Cricetulus griseus: one gene and its partner. The protein of the gene in region 1 purifies or fractionates together with the protein of each later gene. This does not show direct contact. Links are inferred from orthologs where the notes say so. Each region holds a gene or a part of one and is shown on either strand. Other genes may lie near its edges. The genes, in order: Lztr1 and Rit1.

Evidence for each region.
Region 2: the proteins of Lztr1 (region 1) and Rit1 purify together in Homo sapiens (affinity purification with mass spectrometry; 3 studies listed by BioGRID and IntAct, counting the BioPlex papers as one, with this or other methods). This does not show direct contact. The link is inferred for Cricetulus griseus from reciprocal best matches to the Homo sapiens genes LZTR1 and RIT1.

The regions. Positions count from the first base shown.
Region 1 is NC_048597.1:71,798,109-71,801,916, forward strand, and holds part of Lztr1 (leucine-zipper-like transcriptional regulator 1), read right to left. Parts: intron 3,645-3,808; coding exon 3,565-3,644; intron 3,264-3,564; coding exon 3,155-3,263; intron 1,703-3,154; coding exon 1,619-1,702; intron 380-1,618; coding exon 322-379; intron 1-321. UniProt on the Homo sapiens protein: Substrate-specific adapter of a BCR (BTB-CUL3-RBX1) E3 ubiquitin-protein ligase complex that mediates ubiquitination of Ras (K-Ras/KRAS, N-Ras/NRAS and H-Ras/HRAS).
Region 2 is NW_023276806.1:65,816,361-65,820,958, forward strand, and holds the start of Rit1 (GTP-binding protein Rit1), read right to left. Parts: upstream 3,094-4,598; 5' UTR 2,952-3,093; intron 2,833-2,951; exon of another isoform or gene 2,776-2,832; intron 2,599-2,775; 5' UTR 2,560-2,598; coding exon 2,454-2,559; intron 2,306-2,453; coding exon 2,249-2,305; intron 1-2,248.

The DNA of each region.
Region 1 (3,808 bases):
CCAAGTGCTGGGGTTACAGGCATGCACCTCCACACCCAGGTTATTTGTGTCTGGGGATCAAATGCTCGCTTTGTGCATGCTACATTACCAACTAAACTATATCCACTTGGAGTTTCTAGTTAATACTGGAGTTGGGCTGGCAGAAGGGTAAAGGAGACAAAGAGGTGGGCCTTGGTGAGGGGAAGAAGGCAGACTGTTATATGCCACCCTAGCACCTCTCACCCGTATACCAGCTTCCGTTATCCCTCACCTCTGGATGCTGCAACCCGGTCCCCAGTGCCCCTGACTTCCCACCTGCATCATGCTCCCTGCACCCCTCACCTCCTCCCAGCATGTGAGCTCTCGGTCCTGGAGGCCAATTGTCCACATGTCGTTCAACCTGCATCAGGATGGAGGAGTCAGGATCCTTTGGCCCTGAGCCTGGCTGGGAGGGAGAGCTCCAGGGAAGAACCACTTGCCACGTGTGTCAGGAGACAACTGTGCCATCTTTCTTATAAGAAACAGGAACTTCCGGGGAAGATCTACATCAAATCCCAGCACACAGCCTCTAACAGCTCTCACTTCCTGCTGGCTCTCTGACCAGCCAAAACAGAAGTAGATTTATACATAACATCTGGGGTTATGGGACAGAGCCAGATACGTGGGGCAGGGAAAAGACGATGTGTCCCATAAAGCCTGCTGCTCCACTGTGCCGATACTGGTTTCTGCACCGCTGCAGTTAAAATGAGCATGCACTGTTTGGTTACCAGACAAATACAATAAAACAACTTTCTTTTTTCTTTTTTTAAATACTTTTGGATATATTTATTTATTATGTATGCAGTGTTCTGTCCTATATGTATTCCTGCAGGCCAGAAGAGGGCACCAGATCTCATTACAGATGGTTGTGAGCCACCATGTGTTTGCTGGGAATTGAACACCTGGCCTCTGGAAGAACAGCCAGTGTTCTTAACCTCTGAGCCATCTCTCCAGGCCCAAAACAACTTTCTAAAACAAGGAGGAAGCCTGGTGTGGAGGCCCCCACCTTTAATCTCAGCATTCAGGAAGCAGAGGCAGGAGGAGCTCTGTGAGTTCCAGGCTAGCCAGATCTACACAGAGGGCTTCAGGACAGCCAGGGCTAGAGAGAGAACTTGTCTTTTTGTTGTTGTTGTTTTGAGGACAGGGTTTCTCTGTGTAGCTTTGGAGGCAATCCTGGCATTTGCTCTATAGGCCAGGCTGGCCTCGAACTCACATAGATCTGCCTGTCTCTGCCTCCTGAGTTCTGGGATGTGCCACTACCACCCAGCTGAGACCATGTCTTAAAACAAAAGCAAAATATAAAACAATAAATAAAGAGGAAACTGTAACACAGGGAGGAACACAGGGCTGGCTTTAAGCTGAGATGCTTCTGGCCTCCAGGCCCCTGTAGTTCCAAATCTCCTCATCTGAGGAAGTCCAGGGATCACAGACTTGGCTAGGAGGTCCGTCCATTCAGAAGCCTCACCTCCATACCCCTCTCCTGAGAGACTCAAAACCCAGCAGGGCAACTTACCCCAGCCTGAGCACTCAGGTGCCAAGAGAGCTTATTCTGCCCCTGAGGACATGCACAGGTAGGGTACATGGCCAGCTACTTGCCTACCTGGCATTGCCATCATAGCCAGCAAAGATCCAGAGCTTGTCACTGTACACTGTGGCCCCATGGGCTGATCTGGCAACTGGCAACCTAGAACATAAGGAAAAACATGAGGAGGGGCTGGAAAGAAGGCTCAGCACTGAAGAAAACTCACTTTTCTTCAAGAGGCCCAGGTTCAATTCCTAGCACTCACAACCACCCCCTGGAACTTCAATCCCACTTCTGGTCTCCTCAGGCACCAGACATGCATGTGTTACAGACATATATGTCAGGAAAATACACCCACACACACACACACACACACACACACACACACACACACACACACACACACACACACGAGGAAAGGTCATCGGAACATCCTGAAGCAAGGGCTCTGTGTATTCAGCAGCTAGGGCCACAACGGCCTGACACTGGAGCTCAGAGGGCAGTGCTGGGGCACTAGATGCAAACAATAGCACAAGAGGTCTGAACAGCAGATGTGTAAAATATTCAGATGATAAAACCAGGCATGATGGCATGTGTCTGTAAATCCTGGCACTAGGAGATGAAAGGAGGAAGGTCAGAACTTCAAGACCAGCCCGAGGTCAGTGGGACTGTGAGACCCTGATTCAAAACAAACAACGAAAAACACAAAGGCAAAACCAAAACCCCTCCTAAGGGGTGGGGATGTGGCTCAGTTTGTAGGTTGCTTTTCCAGCATACACGAAACCCTGGGTTTGAGTCCCAACACCACAAAACCAGGTATGGTGAGTACACTTGTAACCCTAGCACTCAGGGGCCAGAGACAGGAGGACCAGATGTTCAGGGCCTTCCTCAGCTACACAGCAGGTTCAGAGCCAGCCTAGCCTCATTAGAGCCTGTCGCAAAGAAGGAGAAAGTCAGATACAGACCTTGGAGTATAGCTCAATGACAGAGAGCTTGCCTAGTATGAGGCCCTGAGTTCCATCCCCAGTGCTGAGAAAAAATAAATAAAACAAAATACAACCAAAAGAAATTTTGAGGGGGCTGGAGAGATGGTTCAGAGATTAAGAGCAATGGCTGCTCTTCCAAAGGTCCTTAGTTCAATTCCCAGCAACCACATGGTGGCTCACAACCATCTGTAATGAGATCTGGTGCCCTCTTCTGGCACCAGATACATGCCAGCAGAAGACTGCATACATAATAAATAAAAATAAAAAGTCAGAGTCCTCTTTTAAATTAAAAAAAAAAAAAAAGGAATTCTGTGGTCCACATAGGCCCAGCACCTTCCCAGCTGCTCTTAAAATAGTGAAGGGTGTACTCACAGATCAGCCCACCCAGTTCCTGAGAAAGAAGGGGTGTACACCTGGGATTGGGCTGAGGCAATGCCTGAGCACAGCTCGCAGCTTCCAGCCTGCTGCAAATGTCCTGTCTAGCCCTGCCACATGGGACTCAGCAGTGATGAAAACTAAGCAGCTAAAGTCTCCCAGCCACAGGCTCCCCATCTGAAAAGTGGCAGGAAGCACATCCCAGGCTTAAGTCCACTCTCTTCTTGTGAAAGTTCTCTGCAAAACCACTTACCGCCCTTCAACTTTCCACTCTGTCCACTGGCCAGTTGCAAACTTGTATTCAAAGAGGTCATTTTTATTCTTCAAGTTAGAATTGGAATAAATATCTCCAGTATAGCCCCCTGGGTGAAGAGAATGAAAGCAAAGTGTTACATCTGGGGTACTATTTGGTATTTAAGTGTGGGGGTCCTAGTTAACATGTACAAACCTCTAGCAACAACCCCTAGCCCACCCAAATTACCTCTGCACTGGGATGCAGGGACAGGCACATTGATGTTTCTTGCCCTAGCCATCAGAGGACACACCCAGTCCCATGAGCTAGGGACACTAGGAAAATCAGTTAGTGGGGTAAGAGAACCCTGACCCAACAGAGCTCAGAGAGCCTCATGGAGGGTGAGGGGGTGGGAGGGCAAGGCTGCTTACCAAAGACGAACATGCTGCTCCCGTAGACAACAGCTGAGTGGTGGTAACGGGGAGCTGGTGGGGTGCCAGTGGTAAAGGCTCTGGGAGAGGCACAGGGTGAAGTCAGTGAGGGGTCAGCCAGGCAATCCAAGCCCCATCGCCCTTGAGACCCCCAAAACTTTGTTTTCCTTTCCTCCCTCCCTCTCTTCTACCCTATCCTCCCTTCTCCTTTCCTTTTCAAGTTATGTTGTTGCTGTAAGTGGTC
Region 2 (4,598 bases), on another chromosome or scaffold:
AAGGTATATGCTCCTCAGTCTCACAGCCCTAACTCTCTTCCACTACAGTAAGTTCCAGAGTCACATGGCCTATTTCAGCAGCAAATCCATAGATCCATCCCAGCTTGTTACTACAGTCTGTGGAGCTTACATCTCAAACCATATGACGGACAGTGAATTTCACTATACTGCACGTTAGCTACCATGTTAAAATAAAAGACAGTCAGTGGTACCTGTGAACGAAGGGAGATGAGCTCTGAGCAATTGGTCAGAATTATAACACAGAACAAGAAAAGAGAGCACCATGGACATGACCAAAGAGAATTCAGCCTACTTTGATAGCTCTAAAAACCTGTGTAGGAAGGAGAATAGAATAAAGGATGTGTAGGACATTTCTACCCTCCTACCAAGGAGTGATGTTAGGATATGGGCCACTAGACCCTTGAAGTCTGAGATCAGGGTCTAAGTTCCAGTCCAACTGAGGTGACCATGTGACATTTTCCAGCCAATCTCTAGGCGTGGCTAGTTCTCACTATAAACAAGGGCAGAATAACTAGGTGGGTGTGGCAGATTGTCAGCCAGTCTTCCCACACTCCTGCAGTGCAGGAGGGCAGGGGTGGCAAACACTCCTCTTGCAGGGCAGAGGGCAGACACTGACCCCACCTCGCCATCTAGCACAAGCAATGTCCCTCTAGTGAAGTATCACTTGAGCTGAGACAACTCTGAATTTGGGCTCTGCACTAGGGGCCACCAGTGGGTGGCCTGGAGCTACTGCTTAGAACAAAGTAAATGATCCTAACTCCTGAACTGACTGTATTCAGAGTTCCCACACCACAGTCTGAATCTCTGAAACAATGTTCTCAAGTTGATATAGCAGAGCTAGGGTGCAACTCAGTGGTACAGCATGTACGTGGCTTGATCCCTAGCACAAAAAATAAATAACCCCCATACAACTCACTAAAAAGACAAGTGTTCCTTTCCATTTTTCCCAAACCTATAGAAGCATATGATAATCAAAATGATCACAGCCACAGAATGGCAGATTTTTGTTTTTGTTTTGACAGAGGATCTCACTAGTATTCTTGGCCGGCCTGTAACTCTTTATGTAACCCAGGCTGATGAAAATTCATGTTCCTCTTGCTTTTGCTTCCCAAGTGCTGGGATTACAGATGTGTGCCATCACTCTCAGCTAATGGCAGAGCCCTCTGCAGCCCTACTTTTCTTTTATATAATCATTCAGGATCAAAACTGCTGCTGGGTGGTGGCACATGCCTTTAATTGTAGCAGAGGTAGGTGGATCTCTGTGTTTGAGGTCAGCCTGGTCTACAGAGCCAGTTCCAGAACAACCACGACAGAGAAACCCTGCTTCAAAAAAACAAAAACAACGACAACAACAACAAAAAACAAAGCCAAAAACTGCTTCCTTGTGATTTAGGAGTGAGGAACATTTTTAGTCAACACAAGATAGCAACTAACAACAACAATACAGCCCACACTATAGAACTGGGCATGGGTAGCTCATGTCTGAAGTCCTAGACTAAGGCAAAAGGAGTGCTATGTGTTCAGGCTAGCTTAGGCTCAACGTTTTACCAAAAGAAAACAACACAAAACAAATCTTGGGTAATCTTGGGTAAATCAAGCTCAGTGGTAAAGCCCTTGCCTAGTATGGTTGGGTTGAAGTCTCAGGTCAATCCCCAGTGTAAAAAAAAAAAAAAGGACTGATTTAGTCTAATGGCACTCTACCAGCATCTGACAGCCAAAGATTACAGAGCCACACAAGATGTTGCTATAGAATGAGCTGCCGGGATAAGGAAATAAATGAAGAGCTTCAAGTGGAAGTTCGGTTCTAAGAGGTCAGTAGGCTGGCTCTACTTGTTTTTCTGCTTCCTTTTGTGGAAGTTCAAACCAGCTGACTCATACTAATAGGGTTACTCTCATGTCAGACCCTTAGAAGTGATAGCAAGAAAGGTTTCATTGAGTAGCCTTTAAACTTTCCTTTAATCTAACAATACAGAATACAACCATTAAAAAAAAAAAAGGCCGTTTGTCTATTAATGCTCAACCTAACTCGAAGGCTCAAGATGGCTTATGTACATATGAAGTCTAGGGAAAAAAAATAGTCAACTGTTTTTTTTTGTTTGTTTGTTTCTAAATAAGTATGAATTACATATACAAAAAAGCTCAAGATATATACTTTTTTTTTAAACTTTAAATCTATTAAGATACTTTCACAGATGTACCTGGAAATATAAATGAGGATCTGACTTACCAATGGTGGGGTCATGGTCTTCTGGGAATCGGTGGCTGATGAACTGCATTGTCATGGCTTCAAAACAAGAAATGGAACTCATGACAGTGACCATAAAGTATTTTACCTTGCAACTCTGCACAAGAGCCAGTAACCCATTTGGTCTGGGTTACTGGTCCCTTAGGTGCTTTTCAAACTTTTCTGTCAAATGGAAAAGGTTACCTACCACTCTTCCCAACGCCACCAGCACCCAGCATCACTAGTTTGTATTCTCTTGATAGCGCTGCAGGGCTGCTACAGCTGCTACCAACTGGGCGAGCTCCAGAATCCATTGTCCTCTGGAGCAGTCGTGGGCCCCTGGGAAAGGCCTCCTAGAGAAGGCACGAAACATTCAATCCAGGATGGAGACAGTCGGCCACTGACGACGAGCCCCCGCCTTCCCAAACACCGCGGCCTACCCTGCTCCTTGAGGAACACCAAGAAACCCACGTCTTCTCCCTCCCCCGCTAGTCTCGGTCCTAAAACACAGCACAGATTTCCAAACTTACTTTCTCCAGGAAAATACAAACAACTTGGACTTCTCTTCAGACTAAGGCAGTGTTCCACTAGAAAGGAGCCGGATGAGTCCTGGGGGTTGCCTGGCACCTCCAGGTCTTCGCCCGGCTGCCGCCTCCCCTCGTCCCGCGCTGCCCCGCTCCCCGTCCCTGCCCACCTGTGCCTGTACCTCTAAAGCCGGTCGAATCCGGGTTGCAGACCGCGTTCCTTCCCGAGCGGCGCCGCACAGCCCAGTGCCCCGCCCGGGTCCAGGAAGATGGCGCCGGTGGAAGGGGAGGGACCCTGGAGCCCCGCCCCACAGCCGACACTCACTTTGCTCCACCCCACGCCTAGTTCTGACTCGCAAAGCCCTCTGGTCACGTACTATGTCTCAAGGCTTGCACGTACATAAATGGATGTTCCACTAAACGAAACAGAAACCTTTAAAGTGAGTAACTTAGGGCTATTTGCTACTGGTGGGGGAAGAAAAAATCTGTTACCCGGTGCACAGCAAAACATAACCACATCCCCTCAAGCTTACCAAAATACAGGATTTCATTTATTGTAAGTACTAGCGGTGCCTTTTACCATAAAACGCTGTCACATCTAAGGCTCTTGGAACCAAGACCAGATGTTCTTAGCACCAGTTAATCTAGTTGAAGTTCTGTATTTTAAAAATATTAAAACAGATACGAGCCAGATATGATGGCACATGCCTATAAATCCAGCATGAGAGGTGTTGGCAGCAAGCAGTTGAAGATCAGTTCCACATTACCTGGGCTGCAGCGTCCCTGTCCTAAAAACCGATCTCTGGAGAGATTATCAGTAGTGAAAGCACTTGTGGCTTTTGTAAGGATCTGGACTCAGTGTCTAGCATTCACTCGGTGGCTCACAGCCATCCATAACATGTTTCACAGATCCACCAACCTCTTCTGTGCTCCTGAAGGCACCAGGCAGTGCGCATACATACATGCAGGTAAAATGTACACATTAGTTCTTCAAAAAGCAGTCAGGTGTGGTGGATTACACCTTTAATCTCAGCATTCCAGAGGCAGAAGCAGGTGAATCTCTGTGAGTTCAAGGTCAATCTGGGCTACAAATTCAGCTCCAAAACAGCCAGGGCTACACGGAGAAACCTTGTCTTGAAAAACCAAAATAAATAAATAAAAGCAAGTCTCTTAGGAATTCCAGGTCATAAATTTATGAGAACCCAGCAATAAGTGGGCATTGTTTTCATTCACATTGCACATCACAGCAAACTCCACTTCCCTTTTCTGTTCCAACAGGATGTAGGGTGCACAGATTAAGCTGGCATCCAGTTCCTGGTTCCTGACCAGTCAGTCTCTTGGTATAACAGTGTTAAGGGGCAATCAGGAGGGAGCAGAAGGGATCATTAAGTCCTACTTTACAGCCTAGGCTGACCTCAAAAACCATAGCAATCCTGCTCCAAGTGCAATTACTATATCTTGTTTTGAGGGTCTCACTCAGTCTCATGTAGCCCAGGCTGCTAGTATTTAGGCATCTGGACTGGCCTGCCTTTGGAGTTCTGACAGGATATGCCTCAGCTGCTGCCACTAAGACCACCTGTGCCTATTCACTATATTCCCTTTTAAAAGGGCCCTGCTCACCACCCTTTCTTTCTCTCCCTATTCCTTTCTCTATCTGCATCTTTTTCTTCTCTTCTGCTGCTCCTCCCCTTAAGATCCTTTTCTCCTAATTAAAAACAAAACTCCGCTTGAACTCTGTTGCATGCTCTTTCTCTCTTAAGCTGCTTTTAAAAAATTACAACATAGGTTGGCCTCAAACGCAAAAGCCCCCAGCCTTCAGCACCTGAGCT